Drosophila melanogaster: one gene and its partner. The protein of the gene in region 1 interacts with the protein of each later gene in a pairwise test. Each region holds a gene or a part of one and is shown on either strand. Other genes may lie near its edges.

The links. Proteins that work in one complex are often made in the same cells at the same time.
Region 2: the proteins of Coa8 (region 1) and Pex19 interact in a two-hybrid assay, tested with the Drosophila melanogaster proteins (one large-scale study listed by BioGRID).

Annotation. Positions count from the first base shown.
Region 1 is NC_004354.4:1,878,602-1,885,806, reverse strand, and holds Coa8 (cytochrome c oxidase assembly factor 8), read right to left. Parts: upstream 5,526-7,205; 5' UTR 5,235-5,525; coding exon 5,184-5,234; intron 5,125-5,183; coding exon 4,861-5,124; intron 4,788-4,860; coding exon 4,572-4,787; 3' UTR 4,375-4,571; downstream 1-4,374. Other genes in the region: trr (trithorax-related), read left to right, coding at 1-1,800, 1,866-2,390, 2,470-3,065, 3,122-3,251, 3,306-3,488, 3,559-3,651; CG14818 (uncharacterized protein), read left to right, coding at 6,317-6,395, 6,457-6,668; CG14805 (uncharacterized protein), read right to left, coding at 6,803-7,205.
Region 2 is NT_033779.5:12,089,877-12,097,687, reverse strand, and holds Pex19 (peroxin 19), read right to left. Parts: upstream 5,867-7,811; 5' UTR 5,562-5,866; exon of another isoform or gene 5,330-5,561; intron 4,001-5,329; 5' UTR 3,827-4,000; coding exon 3,778-3,826; intron 3,695-3,777; coding exon 3,577-3,694; intron 3,511-3,576; coding exon 3,207-3,510; intron 3,141-3,206; coding exon 2,977-3,140; intron 2,920-2,976; coding exon 2,676-2,919; 3' UTR 2,453-2,675; downstream 1-2,452. Other genes in the region: Mt2 (methyltransferase 2), read right to left, coding at 16-992, 1,042-1,102; CG6712 (uncharacterized protein), read left to right, coding at 1,268-2,452.

The DNA of each region.
Region 1 (7,205 bases):
GGGACTGGTCATGTGATCACCAGTACCGGACAAGGAGTTACTTTGGGAGGAGTGGGCGCCAGTACTGGAGCCAGTTCCTCGCCCATGCTCAAGAAGCGGGTTCGCAAGTTCTCCAAGGTAGAAGAGGATCACGATGCATTTACCGAGAAGTTGCTGACGCACATCCGCCAAATGCAGCCGCTTCAAGTTCTGGAGCCGCATCTCAATCGCAACTTTCACTTTCTTATCGGGAGCAACGAGACTTCTGGAGGTGGTTCGCCCGCCTCAATGAGTTCTGCGGCTTCTGCCGGATCATCATCGGCTGGAGGAGGAAAGCTGAAGGGCGGATCTCGAGGCTGGCCACTGAGCAGGCATTTGGAAGGTCTGGAGGACTGTGATGGCACCGTTCTCGGCCGCTATGGTCGAGTGAATCTGCCAGGGATACCCTCGTTGTACGATAGCGAACGCTTTGGCGGAAGTAGAGGTCTAGTTGGTGGATCTGCACGAACCCGTTCACCCTCGCCAGCAGAGTCTCCGGGAGCAGAAAAGATGCTACCAATGTCTAGCATCCAAAATGATTTTTATGACCAGGAGTTCTCCACGCATATGGAGCGCAATCCTAGGGAACGCCTGGTGCGGCACATTGGAGCCGTCAAGGATTGCAATTTGGAGACCGTAGACCTGGTGGAGAGCGAGGGCGTAGCTGCGTGGGCGACTCTTCCACGACTTACCCGCTATCCGGGTCTAATACTGCTCAATGGAAACAGCCGTTGCCATGGACGGATGTCGCCGGTCGCACTGCCGGAGGATCCGCTGACCATGCGCTTTCCCGTGTCTCCACTGCTTCGATCCTGCGGCGAAGAGCTGCGCAAGACACAGCAGATGGAGCTGGGAATGGGACCGCTGGGCAATAATAATAATAACAATTACCAGCAGAAGAACCAGAATGTGATACTCGCACTGCCCGCCTCGGCATCGGAGAACATAGCCGGCGTGCTGCGGGATCTGGCCAATCTACTGCACTTGGCGCCCGCCCTTACCTGCAAGATCATCGAGGACAAGATTGGCAACAAGTTGGAGGACCAGTTTATGAATCAGGACGATGAAAAGCACGTCGACTTCAAGCGACCACTGAGTCAAGTGAGTCACGGTCATCTGAGGAAGATCCTCAACGGGCGTCGTAAGCTCTGCCGCAGCTGCGGAAATGTGGTTCACGCCACTGGGCTGCGAGTTCCTCGGCACAGTGTTCCTGCCCTAGAAGAGCAACTCCCCCGGTTGGCTCAACTGATGGACATGCTGCCAAGAAAATCGGTTCCCCCTCCTTTTGTGTACTTCTGCGATCGCGCCTGCTTTGCGAGATTCAAGTGGAATGGAAAGGATGGCCAGGCGGAGGCGGCTAGTCTGCTGCTTCAGCCAGCCGGCGGTTCTGCTGTAAAATCATCCAACGGAGACTCGCCTGGCAGCTTCTGCGCCAGCTCAACTGCCCCAGCGGAAATGGTGGTCAAACAAGAACCGGAGGACGAGGATGAGAAAACGCCGAGCGTACCGGGCAACCCCACAAATATCCCCGCACAGCGCAAATGCATTGTGAAGTGTTTTAGTGCTGATTGCTTCACCACGGACTCGGCGCCATCCGGACTGGAGCTCGACGGAACTGCTGGTGCCGGAACTGGGGCTGGACCGGTCAATAATACTGTGTGGGAAACAGAGACCAGTGGGCTGCAGTTGGAGGACACGCGGCAGTGTGTCTTCTGCAATCAGCGTGGTGACGGCCAGGCAGATGGACCCTCGCGACTGCTTAACTTCGATGTGGATAAATGGGTAAGTAGAAAGTGTAACCCTAATGATTGATTGCATCACAGCTTAATGTACACTTTCACATACAGGTTCACCTTAACTGCGCCCTGTGGTCCAACGGCGTGTACGAGACGGTGTCTGGGGCGCTGATGAACTTCCAGACAGCTCTGCAAGCGGGACTGAGCCAGGCGTGTAGCGCTTGTCACCAACCAGGCGCCACCATCAAGTGTTTCAAGTCGCGCTGCAACAGCCTGTACCACCTGCCATGCGCCATTCGCGAGGAGTGCGTCTTTTACAAGAACAAGTCCGTGCACTGCAGCGTTCATGGTCATGCTCATGCCGGCATCACGATGGGTGCAGGAGCAGGCGCCACGACTGGCGCCGGATTAGGAGGCTCTGTGGCAGATAATGAACTGAGCTCCCTGGTTGTCCACCGGAGAGTTTTTGTCGATCGGGATGAAAACCGTCAGGTGGCCACCGTCATGCACTATTCAGAGCTAAGCAACCTGCTCCGTGTGGGCAACATGACGTTCCTGAACGTGGGTCAGTTACTGCCGCATCAGCTGGAGGCCTTCCACACACCCCACTACATCTACCCCATTGGCTACAAGGTGGTAAGTACAAGTACCAGCCGGTCGGCCGCCATGTTTATGAACAGCAATCTTAAATCCCGTTCCTCTTCCTCCCCCATAGAGTCGCTACTACTGGTGCGTGCGACGACCCAATCGTAGGTGTCGATACATTTGCAGTATCGCAGAGGCCGGATGCAAGCCCGAGTTTCGCATCCAGGTGCAGGACGCCGGCGACAAGGAGCCGGAGCGCGAGTTTCGGGGCAGTTCGCCCTCGGCGGTCTGGCAGCAGATTCTGCAGCCAATCACGCGACTGCGTAAGGTGCACAAGTGGTTGCAGCTCTTTCCCCAGCACATCAGTGGTGAGGACCTATTTGGCCTAACGGAACCGGCCATTGTGCGAATCCTGGAAAGCCTCCCGGGCATTGAGACGCTCACTGACTACCGCTTCAAGTACGGTCGCAACCCGCTTCTTGAGTTCCCGCTAGCCATCAATCCGTCTGGAGCGGCGCGTACGGAACCCAAGCAACGACAGCTGCTCGTCTGGAGGAAGCCGCATACGCAACGCACGGCCGGCAGCTGCAGCACGCAGCGGATGGCCAACTCGGCTGCGATTGCCGGAGAAGTGGCCTGCCCGTACAGCAAGCAGTTCGTGCATTCGAAGAGCTCCCAGTACAAAAAGATGAAGCAGGAGTGGCGCAACAACGTCTACTTGGCGAGGTGAGACATTAGGTCCTAGTCAATAACCACTGATTACTTAAGCTCTCATTTTCTAGATCTAAGATCCAGGGTCTTGGCTTGTATGCAGCTCGGGACATTGAAAAGCACACCATGATAATCGAGTACATTGGCGAGGTTATCCGCACCGAGGTCTCCGAGATACGCGAGAAGCAGTACGAGTCCAAGGTGGGTTTCGCGACCATGTTTTCTTGTAACTTTGACTAATCTCTGATTCCCCAGAACCGTGGCATCTACATGTTCCGGCTGGATGAAGACCGCGTGGTGGACGCCACTCTAAGCGGCGGGTTGGCGCGCTACATCAACCATTCGTGCAATCCCAACTGTGTTACCGAGATAGTGGAGGTCGATCGCGACGTGCGGATCATAATATTCGCCAAGCGGAAGATCTATCGCGGCGAGGAGGTGGGTCCCGCAAATAGAAGTGTTTCGCCTGTACCTTAACTCACAATATCTCTTAAATTCTGTGCTTTAGCTCTCGTACGACTACAAGTTCGACATTGAGGACGAGTCGCACAAGATACCGTGCGCCTGTGGAGCGCCCAACTGTCGCAAGTGGATGAACTAGAGTCGGGAGGAGCCTCTAGCGGAGGACCAAAGGAAGCGCAAGAAGCGGCGGCGAGCACGTCGCTCCCAGTGAACAGGAACAGGAGTAGAGACAGGAACAGGAACAGGACTTGTATCTGATCAAGTAGCTAGATTCGCTAAGCATTATAGTTCGTGTACATTTATATATATATATATATATATATATATATATTTATATATATATAGTTTATATGCTATATGCAGATATGCTCGTGGAGAGCATATGACCTTGTAAGTTTTGTATATGTGCCCACTGTAGCCAATTCGTATCCTTTATATCGCTCTTAAGTGCAAAAGTGGAGAGTGTCTTCATAGTTTAAATTGAATAATTGCTATCGTTTCTACATAGAAAGAATATAAATGTTACTGCTAGGACACGACCACCCCTGTAATGTATTTCGGACCCCCTCTCCTCACACAGTCGCTGGAGCACCTAATTTTATTTGTTTTAGCACCATCTCCACATTCATCACTACCACCATTGCAATTATCGCGAGGAAACTGACCGCCCCGATGGCCAACCCAAAACTTGACTTTATGCGTGTGTGCCTTCCCCTCTGTTTACCATTATTATTATTATCATAATTGTAGCGGTTATCTTTCAATATTCGGCCACTTTACATGGGGAGCGATCCTTCTTTCGCTGCGTGTATCGTGCGCAACCTTCTTTGAATATATACACTGATAAGGATATGAACACCTACTTCTATTTTATTTTATTTAAATAGTTTGCGATTACTTTTAAGTACATTAACTAACTCCGAACAACGTGTATTTTTCATCCCCTTAAATAGTAGCTAAGTAAATTTTATGCCACCATTTTACGCACGTGATCTTTTATTCCAACTTATTGCAAACGGCAAACTGGAAATTACGAAATGGGGACGACAGATATTGCACCTAAGATCTTCGCTTGGCCAGCGCCAGAAGCCTCTGGAGCTGGACTGCGGCAGCCAGGGTGAGTATGTCGAAGTTCTTCAGGTACCAGGAGATGTTGTACATGATGTGGATGCGCCAGTTCTTGTCGAGGAACGCTTTGTAGAAGTGGCTCATCTGGTCCGCGGACACTTCGCTGGTTCCGCTTTCCTTGTGCAGGCGGATGAAGTCTTCCTTTTCCTGTAAACGAACCAATTCGAAAGAGACGACATTAGCGGACTAGAAAGAGATGGCACAGTGGTCGTGGTTGTACCTCGTAGAAGCGCTTATTGTGTTTTGTCCAGAAGTCCGTGTTCCATGCCTCCACCTCGATCCGCTTAAGACGCAGGCTTCTTGCCAGCCGCGTCTCCTCATCGCCGTAGTGCCGTACGTACGGACGTAGGTTTGATTGCGCGTCTGGCGGTCCTATATAGTCGCACTTCACCGTCTTGGGATCGGGCTTGTGTGGCAAACCGACGACGGGTTTTTCTTGTGGCGGTGGACATCCCGGCTGCACTGCGGCATAGCACCGCGGTAGCTGTGTAAACAAGAAATTGAAAATCCGAATCCTATAAGGCAACACACTCATGGACTCACGCTGAACTGGAAAAGCGATATCCGGGGCTGGCACCTAAAACATTTGTTCATTTTTCGGTTATGTTATGTGAGGTGCAGTGTGGCCGACTGTCACGCTAGGCAACAGATTAAATATTGATGCCAGCAAATATTACGGGCATTCGCATGCGATTCTCGACTGAATATCTGGAGTTCAGAAACCAGTAGCCAGTAGCCAGCCAGCTGATACATGTCGACAAAATCAAGAAACAGTTTCTTTTTCCAAAATGGTCGCATATTGCATGTTTCCAGTCGCAATTGAACCAATAGGAATGCAGCCTTGTGAACAGTTAGACCAAAGCTTAAGCAAGAGTATCAGAAGAGATGTGAACCCCTCTTGTTTCCCTGTTCGTGACACGCAATCGGCACGTCATGCTCGAGCAAATACCAAAATCCCTAGTAATTTGCTTGCGTTGTGAAAATAAAACGATATACATGCACATCTCTAAAAACAACGTAGAAACAGAGGCTAGTACACTTTCTGTTTATTATGCTCGCCTCATGATTGCAACAAGAAATCTACTGTCGCAATTCGATGCTTCAAAATTATTTCGGTCAAAATGGGCAAGATTATCGACTGTAGACACCAGGCGAACAGAAAACGTTGGAGTACGACCGCTGATCGCTCTGAGAAATTAAACAGCCGTTCATTGTCAGAAGGGGTCAACTCTGGCCAATCAACATTAAGCACTATGGGAAAGAACCGTTCGATTAAGTCCAGTCAACGCCTAGAGATACGTAAACCATTTGTTTCATTGTTCGTGTCACGAATTAGGCACGACATATGCGAATAAGCCAAAATTTCCCATGCTATTCCATTGGTACGTAAAAATAAAACGAGGCACGGGCACATCCCTAAAAACTAAGTGGAAACTTAGCTTTGGACTTTTGCAGTGGATTATGTTCGCCTAGTGTTTTGAGCTAAAAAGTGTTTTCGTAATTACAAAAACGTACGTATGTACTGAATTCCCCTATTAAGTTTTTTTTTTTATATCGTATTTGAACTGAGACCTATCGTTCTCTTCTAACCACCTCTATCGTTTATAGCTATCCCGTGACAATAAATCCAACTGGAAAAAACAAACGGAAAAACTCCGGGGAAAATTCCAGGGAAAATGTCACCCAAAAACAATCATGATCCCTCGTCGTCCGGCGACTCTGGCAACACCAATGTCCAGGAGGCGGACCTCCAAGGTGAGTTTTGACAGCGCCCCGTTTCTGCTCGGGATTGGCTCTAATGGAATGACCCCTACAGAGATGGAGGACGTGAACAACAGTCTGGACGCTCTCAGCTGTGCCCTGGACGCCGTGGAGCAGCGCACAGACGACATTATGTCCCAACTACGGGAGCTGCTGAACTCCAACCGAGAGATCCGTCGCCTGATTGCCGAGGAAAATGACAACGCTCCCGAATCGGGAGATGACAACATGGACGGGCAGGCGGGCAGCGAAGCGGCACCCAAGTAGATCCCTCTACGAGAAGTTATTGTTTTGTTCATCCAAATCGTTTTTAGGCACAATCAGTGCTGTTTTTTTTCTATTATCATGTATTTTTGTCCTAAGTCCTAAGTAAACGTAATTGAAAGCAAGCTTAAGGTTCACTATGTCTTCCGCGCTTTCTTGCGCTTTGTCTTCTCTGTGATTTCAGCCTGGCCATTGGTATCGCTAGTAATATACTTGAAAGCTATCTGGAACAAGCGCATTGACTGCGCTTTGAGGCGCGCATTCTCGGCCTGCAGCTCTTGCACTCTTTCGTCGCTTGTCTGTGCTGAGTCTGGCTGATATTCTGCATACGATTTTTCGGACTCAGCTTCCTTGGAGGCGGTTTCCATTGGCTCGGATTCAGGTTCTTCTTCTTCGACCTCGGAATCCTCGACATCTGTAGCTTTGGTTTCCGCCTCAATTCCTTCGTCGTCCTCGTTCTTTCCCGAACTCATGGACGCTATAAGTTTGAGTATTATCTCCTCATCCGTACCCGGATGACTTTGGGTGTAGTCCAGCTCC
Region 2 (7,811 bases), on another chromosome or scaffold:
ATGTTGTATTTTGTTTTATTTTATCGTCAGCAATTTAATAAGTTCACCGACAACCTTTACATTAATACTATTTCCCAGCAGTCGATACTTTTGTCGATTCGTTGTTTCTGGCGGAAATTCAAAATTCTCCGGAAAACTCATTAGACGAGCAACTTCCCGTGGCGTGAAATAGCGCAGTCTCACCTGGTGCAACAGGTCCAAGCGTTGCTGCAAAATCTTCTCCGACTTCGATGCATCCTGATTACTTGTGTCAATTTCCTTGACCAACTCGAAGATGCGGTGGGATTCGTCCTCCGAAAGCGGTGTGTATGCAGAGCCCGTGCCCTCGGTGTAATGGGTGTAGCCCTTTGTAAAGCACATGGATCTACTTTGAGCAGGATGTATTATGTCCATGACCAGCACTCTTTTGGTCAAGACATCGTCGGGCACCAGGAAATCGGGTGATACATTTTCCTCCACAATCTCGGCAATTTGTGAAAGACCCTGATTCTGGGCTATAGCACCCGGCATTTCTTCCCAGATCTTTCCACCGGCAAATGGAAAGTCTGCACCCTTGCGGGCGATGCAATAGTAGCGATATCGAGTATTTGGCACATTGAATTGCGTTGGCGTTAGAATAAACTCCCGCCAATGGAATCCCGACCGCTCCAGCGATTCAATAAACTGATTTCGCGCCTGTGAGCTCTCGAAACCCTTGACGTTTTCCATGAGTATGTACTCCAGTTCCTGGCACTCTGGGATCAGTCCACACAGATGAGTAAGTGCATCCGATCGCTTGTCTTCCGTGTCCCTTTGCAATCCCTGGCGAGTGTGGGGCTGACATGGCGGGGACATCAGCAGCATGTTGGCCTGAAGCTTTGTGACTTCCTTTACACTCAGGCTTTGAATATTCCTAGTTTTCACCAAATTACTGCCGTAATTGTGCGCATAAACCGCATTGGCCACGGTGTTGACATCCAAGGCGGCAACTATTTGTCCATCCAATTGGGCATCTTCAAAAGTATATATTAGTTTCGCATGTATCATGATCGACGAACTCACAATTAAAGGCATAATGCATGCCGCCAATGCCACTAAATAGTTCTAAGACCCGAAATACCATTTTAATTAAATATATTTTTGTTTACAAACTACACGTTGTGAGTGGCACGTTTTCCAACACTGCCCCACACAGCAGATTGTCTGCGTTTCCGTGTGATTGGTATAAGAAGAAGAATATCAACACGTGCCGCTCGCATTTTTGTGAATTCGTGATTCTCTCGGAATAATGATAAAAATTAAGCGAAAAACAGCCCCTCCGCCCGTGGAACAGGACTCGGACAGCGATTCCAGCTTTGACGAGGAGGAGCCACAGGATTTGGAAGTCCAGGAGGGGCCAGTCACTGATAGCAGCGATGAAGAAGCCGCCTCCAGCAGCAAAAAAACGGCCAAACAAGGGGAAGCCAGTGAGGATTTAAAGGAAGAGGATGATGACGACGATGAGGAGGAGAATGACGACGACGACGAAGAAGAGGATGATGACGACGACGACGACAAGAAGACACGAATTCCTGTTTTGAATCCCCTCAGCTGGATGCGCAACAAGGAGCAGCGTTTGGCGTTGTACAAAAAAATGAAGAAGGAGAAGCACAAGAAAAAAATGCAGGAGCGCCGTGCCCGACGGAAGGCTGGTGTACCCGCCAATCCTGGTCACACCATAGAGAGCCTGCGAGAGAAGGACCAAACAGAGGTGGCCAATCTGAACGATTCCGACAACGAGGAGTTGCAAAAGGAACTCCAACTGGACGATTTCAGCTCGTACTTCGAACGTTCGTACGAGCCAAAGGTGCTGATCACTTTTGCTGACAATCCGGTGACCAAGACGCGTAAGTTTGGACTGGAGCTTTCGCGCATATTCCCCAACGCCCTGGTTAAGATTCGCAACAAGTCGTCGGTGAAGAAGATATGCAAAAGCGCCGAGCGCGAGGAGTTCACAGACGTCGTGATCGTTAACGAAGATCGCAGAAAGCCCAATGGGCTGCTGGTCATTCATCTGCCCAATGGTCCCACTGCCCACTTCAAGCTGTCCAACGTGAAGCTCACCTCGGACATAAAGCGCGATCACAAGGAGATAACCAAGCACAGGCCCGAAGTGATCCTGAACAATTTTACCACACGTTTGGGTCTGACCGTGGGCCGCATGCTGGGTGCCCTCTTCCATCACGATCCCGAGTTCCGCGGCCGCCGAGCGGTGACGTTCCACAATCAGCGAGATTACATATTCTTCCGTCACCACCGCTACGAGTTCACCAAAGAGGGAAAACGCGTAAAGCTGCGCGAACTGGGGCCGCGGTTCACCCTGAAACTACGTTCCCTGCAGGAGGGCACATTCGACAGCAAGACCGGTGACTATGCCTGGATAATCAGCAACAAACGGCACGCCATGGAGTCGCGACGTCGCTTCTTCCTCTAGGTGTATTTCGAGGCATTGTATTTAGGTATAGAACTACTTAATAAACCAACAGTTAATACGAAAATAATAGCTTGATTGAAGAGAGAGGTGATAACCATTAGCGACCGCCGTATTGTTTTGTCGGTGATAAAATAAAATACAAATTTGCCTTAGCCTAAAAAATGTGCAACACTCAACAGTTAACCAATTGGCACACCACGAGACTATCGTGCTCCGTCAGCCACTACATGGTTGGGCACTGGGGACCGGGACCGCCGGCTGCTACGCCGGCAGTGGGATCGCCGAAGGGCAAGTCGCCGCCCGTCTCGGCCAGAATCTCTGGCGGCGGCTGGCCGTAGTCTTGCAGTTTGCGCATGTCGTCCAGCACGACGCGGAACTTCTCTCGCTTCACGGCGGCCGAATCCTCGGTCTTCTCGCTCTGTAAATGCCCCTCAATCACCTTGTACAGCTCCATCTGCTTCTGGTACCTGTATGTATTGGTTTCTCAATAAAAGTATCTTATTGCGAGTTGATTTCGAGCATACCTTTCCTTGTCCTCAGCGGAGAGCTTGGCGTCGTTCTCCTCGAGGTACTTGGGGTACTTCTCCAGCAGCTCCCGGATGCTGGGCAACAGAATCTCCGCCGAGAGCAGGCTCTGCATCATGCCCTCCATGAATGGTAGGAACATGTTTCCATCACCCTCGCCAGCCTGTCAAACGGGGATTGTTTAATGATTGAGCAAGGAGAATTCATATTTCATTTTCAGGATGCATACCCCTTCAAGATTCAGTGAACCAAACATGCTGGCTATGTCGTTCTCCGAGGCGGGAGCAGCCAGGTTCTCGGAGCCCTCTTGCAGACCCTTGAGAGCCTGGGAAATGCTATCAGAATACTTGGAGACATCCTCGTCGGTGGCCGAATTTTCGCCGCTCAAGGTGAGCGCTGCCGCTTCGGCCATCTTTTTGAAACCGGCCATGATCTGGTCGGGATCCTGGGGCAGCGGCGGAATATCGCCACTGGGCGTGTCCGGACCTCCGAAGAGCGTGTTCATGCGATCGGCCAGCACCTTGGCCTGCTCACTGAAGGCGGATAACAGGTCAGAATACAAAGTTCAAGTGCCGCGTTGCACTGGCGCATTGACTCACATGAAAAACGCATCTGGATCCTCGGAGCCCTCAGGTCCAGCGTTGGTCGCCACATCCGATGATGCGGACGGCTCCTTTTGGTCACCGGCACCACTTTTATCGAAATCCTGGAGAGCACCTGTGCGAAAAGTGGACGACGCAGTGCGCATTATGTAAGGGGTCGAGAAGGGATCGCCAAAGGCATTTCCGGGCTGTACTCACTGTCCAGCAAGTCGTTTAATTCATCGCCATTCTTCTTTTCTTCGGACATTGTGCAATTTCGGGATGCTTTTCCTTGATTTCGTGGTGGGTGGGAAATGGTAAAAAATAAAGACTGACTGAATCAATCAGTGGGACCGTTCATCTGCTGCTGGTGCATACCGCAGTCAGCTGAACAGGTGTGGCTACACTGACTCACATCTTAGTGCGACCGCATTCGTAACGGCTTTTTAAAAGGATGCGAAATGATAAGAAAAAAATTTAAAAATTAACTTTTCTATATAATTGTTGGTTTTAATTTTAAGATTTCAGTTTCGGTTAGGGCTTAGACAAAATTCATATTACTTAAACAACTTTTAAATGCATTTAATGTTTTTTTTAAGAAAAATAGCTATATTTTGTTTAATTTTTAGTAAATATATTCCTTAAATTAAGAATTCTTATTTGTTACTATTATATAAAGTTCAAAACAAGTTCAGAATACCTATTTCGAAATAATCTGGAATGCATTATTATTGTGGACTACACATAAGTGTGAAAATGTCTAGCCATTTAATTCATATAACATATATTTATTGTCAATGAAAATTTCGAGTTTTGATTTAGAAAATTATATGTCTTACAACAACAAGTCATCAGTACACCCATCTACAATATAATAGTGTACATATTTAAATCTAGGCCTACATCAGACTAATAAACTTAAATTCGAAGCACCTCAATATCCCTCCTGTCTTGAGAGACAAACCAAGGACATTAGTCGAAGATTATCTAAAATAATCACCCAAAATATTTACGCATCTTCTGCGAAACTCTCAGCCAATCTCCCCGGGAATGGCACCTCGCTGTGCGCGGACGGAGATCGGCGACCAAACTGCGACCAGAGCCCAAACCGCACATACTGAGTGGTGAGGGAGGGGTCGCAAAACCATCAAGGTCACGGCGCGACGCTGATGCGCGACCAATTCCGAAACCAGAACGTCACACCCATGGACGGGACACATGGATTTTGCAGTAGGGCGTCCAGCTCTAGGTCCACTCCCGCCCGAAGGTCACCGCTGCGGAGGAACCCCGCTTGGTTTCCTCAATTCCGCTCATATGGTCAAATGGCTGGGCTGGGATGGGCTGTGCTCTTTGCGACTTTAACCGCACGGTTTACCAGAAGAGCAAAACGAATCTTCGATTCGGTACGCCCACGCAGCGAAGTATTGTGGTAAATTTGTGTTTTTTCCTCTATTTCCACTATTGGGGCGGAGTTTTCTTCGGTCAGTCGGTTCTCTGAAAATGTCAGCATGGGCGGAGCTTCGACTGAAATAATGCATAATTTGGTGTTTTATTTTGCGGCTTAGGGTGGAACAAACCGCCTGAAACTCTTACATTTCCTACAGAAACAGGGTAATTTGACTTTTTATGGGCTGTAATCCATTTACAGAATATGCATACATATAACATCAAAAATTTCCCTAAAAACCATAACTCTCTTTTTAGGGAAAAATTTCATTCTCTATTCGCTGCGAACATCAGAGTATATAGTTCAACTTCAAATTTCTTAGAACCCAAGCAGTTCAGTTCAAAAAGTCAAGACAACCGTCAAAAAGTCAAAACAAAAGTCGAAAACGTAAAAACCCCTTCGTTGGCCAAAACAATGGTTTTTGGGTCACACTCACACCCGATCCCAATAAACCAAGAAACTCGCTCTTTTTTGACATAATTTTTAAGGCACCAACAGGCGCGTCATAAAGTTGTTTATTCCGATATAATCGGTTTGCTAGACTAGCTGAATTTACCTGAATCTCCAGCTCTATTTCCCCAGAAGAGGAAGGATTCCAACCGTCATAAAATGCCCATCAGCGTCTTCACAAGCATCTACACTTCCCTTCCTTTTTGCAGGAACTTTGCCAGGATACGATCCTGTACATCCTTTTCATATGCTGACTGCGATTTCACGCTCGCTGATCGCATCGCTATTTTTTTCAACATTTCCGCATCCTTCCAGCGAAAGATGCTCGATTTTACGATGCACTGAACAGGATATAATGGATTTCGCGATTGTTCGGTAATGACGATGATTGCGACTTTATAGACACATTATTTATATTGTGGCTGGTGTCGTGTGGCTATGGTAATAAAGTGTAAATAATAAGTATATATAAAGGAGTAAATAAATTAAGACACTAAATATATGTAATATATATGTAATATAAAAGGAATAAAAGTTCTTTAAAATAAAAAAATTATACTAATTAAATTAAACTCTGATTCTAGAAATCTGAATGTTACATTACATTCAAAATAACTTGTAGCTTTAGTACACCTTGTATTAATCATTCAAGTATCACAAAATATAAGATATTTATATATGTTTCGACATATTTTTGTGTCTGGCCAGGATGGCATTATCTTTTGATATTTTGGCCATGGTAATTGCGATTACAAGGCTCCCAGTCATTCCTGGAAAACGCTCACTTTTCCTTTGAAATCCTGCCCCGAAAAGAAGAACTGGAGAAGTCAACTGCTGGCAGCTTCCCGAAAGACAAGACACCCACATCCACCATCCAACATACAACATCCACCATCAACCATTGCGCAATGGGGCGAGCTCTTCATGCTCCGACACCCATCGCTCTCCATCAAAGTGGCCATGCAAATGAGCCCTTGCGTCTGCCATACGTTTTCCTCTAGAGGATTGGGTCGAAGGGTAGCCGACTCCAGATGATGTGGGTTGCTCTGTCTGTGCCCCCCCAGTCGCTGTTCTGTTTGATTAAGCGGAAATTAAGTGTGCGTTTCGGTTGCAGCCTCCCAATTCGCCATGCCCTGCTTTTTTTTTATCGTGAACTGCAGCACATATATGTTTTATGTTTCCCAATCGATTTGGTGGCTCAAGAGCTGCTTTTGGCTTCCTCAGGTCAAATAGTTTTTATTACAGTGGTTAGGAATTACTCCCAATTAAGTTTCATAGAAATTATAGATTGCTAAAACATAAAACCACTTCTAAGTAGGACATCATGAGAAACTTTTTAAGCTCTTCGCATAAAACTGAAGATTCTTTCCCACTAATGTATAAATAATCACGGTCTCTGCAGTCAATTTTTCCATTGGCAATGCATTTTTTTTAATAGAAAACGCCGACCGTAGCCAGTGATTAATGAAACAATTGAATGATTTTATTTAAATTCGCATATATCCGATGCAAACCGTGGCTAATGGACAAACGCCGCCGAAGAGAAGATCCAACATCTCCAAATCGAGATTCCATAGAAACACTCGGGATGTGAGAAAAACGCCACCTACTTTGTGGACTCTACGCCGAGAAAACTAATGATGTTCTTTCGCCATCCATCGAGTTTGTCCATTATAGTAGAGTATATGATCGATCCGCGATCGAACCTGATCGACTACCACAAAGCAGGGCAATTACAAATCGGGGAACTGGACAACAGGTTGCCGGCTGAGTTGGGAAATATGGATGTGGATGTGGCTCTGTGACTCTGGATGGAGATGGAACCCGGCCGGAAAACAAATTAATCTTGTTGACGTCGCAGCCTCGTCACTTTCTTCGCCAGGTCGAGGGCCCAGGTGTTTGATCTCGACCTGATGCTCCGATGCTACGATCTTCTGTTGGACAACGATGGGTTGCGCCTACATTTGCGCCTTCTGTTTAATGATCAATTTGTTGGCCTCCGTCGCCGTCTCTCAGATGTGTGCCGACAGCGTTTAGCAGTCGATTGGGCTCGGGATTGGTTTGTTTGTGCCCCGAGTTGCCGGGTTTGTTGTGCCCCAGGCTAATGAGTTTCTCGAAAGTGGGTGTATGTGGCAGGGGCTCCCCTTTTTGCCCCTGGGACACTTCCTACATGATCGGCGAAAATTCAGCCAGACTCTGTGACGTCCCAATACACAGGAAGATAATCCCTTTCAACTAACTAACTATTTATTATTTAATTTATAGCTTCTTCATTCTTATACATTTAGGTACTGAAAAATATATATTCTTAAGCAATAATTATACAGAATATGAATATTTCTTTGCATGAACAACA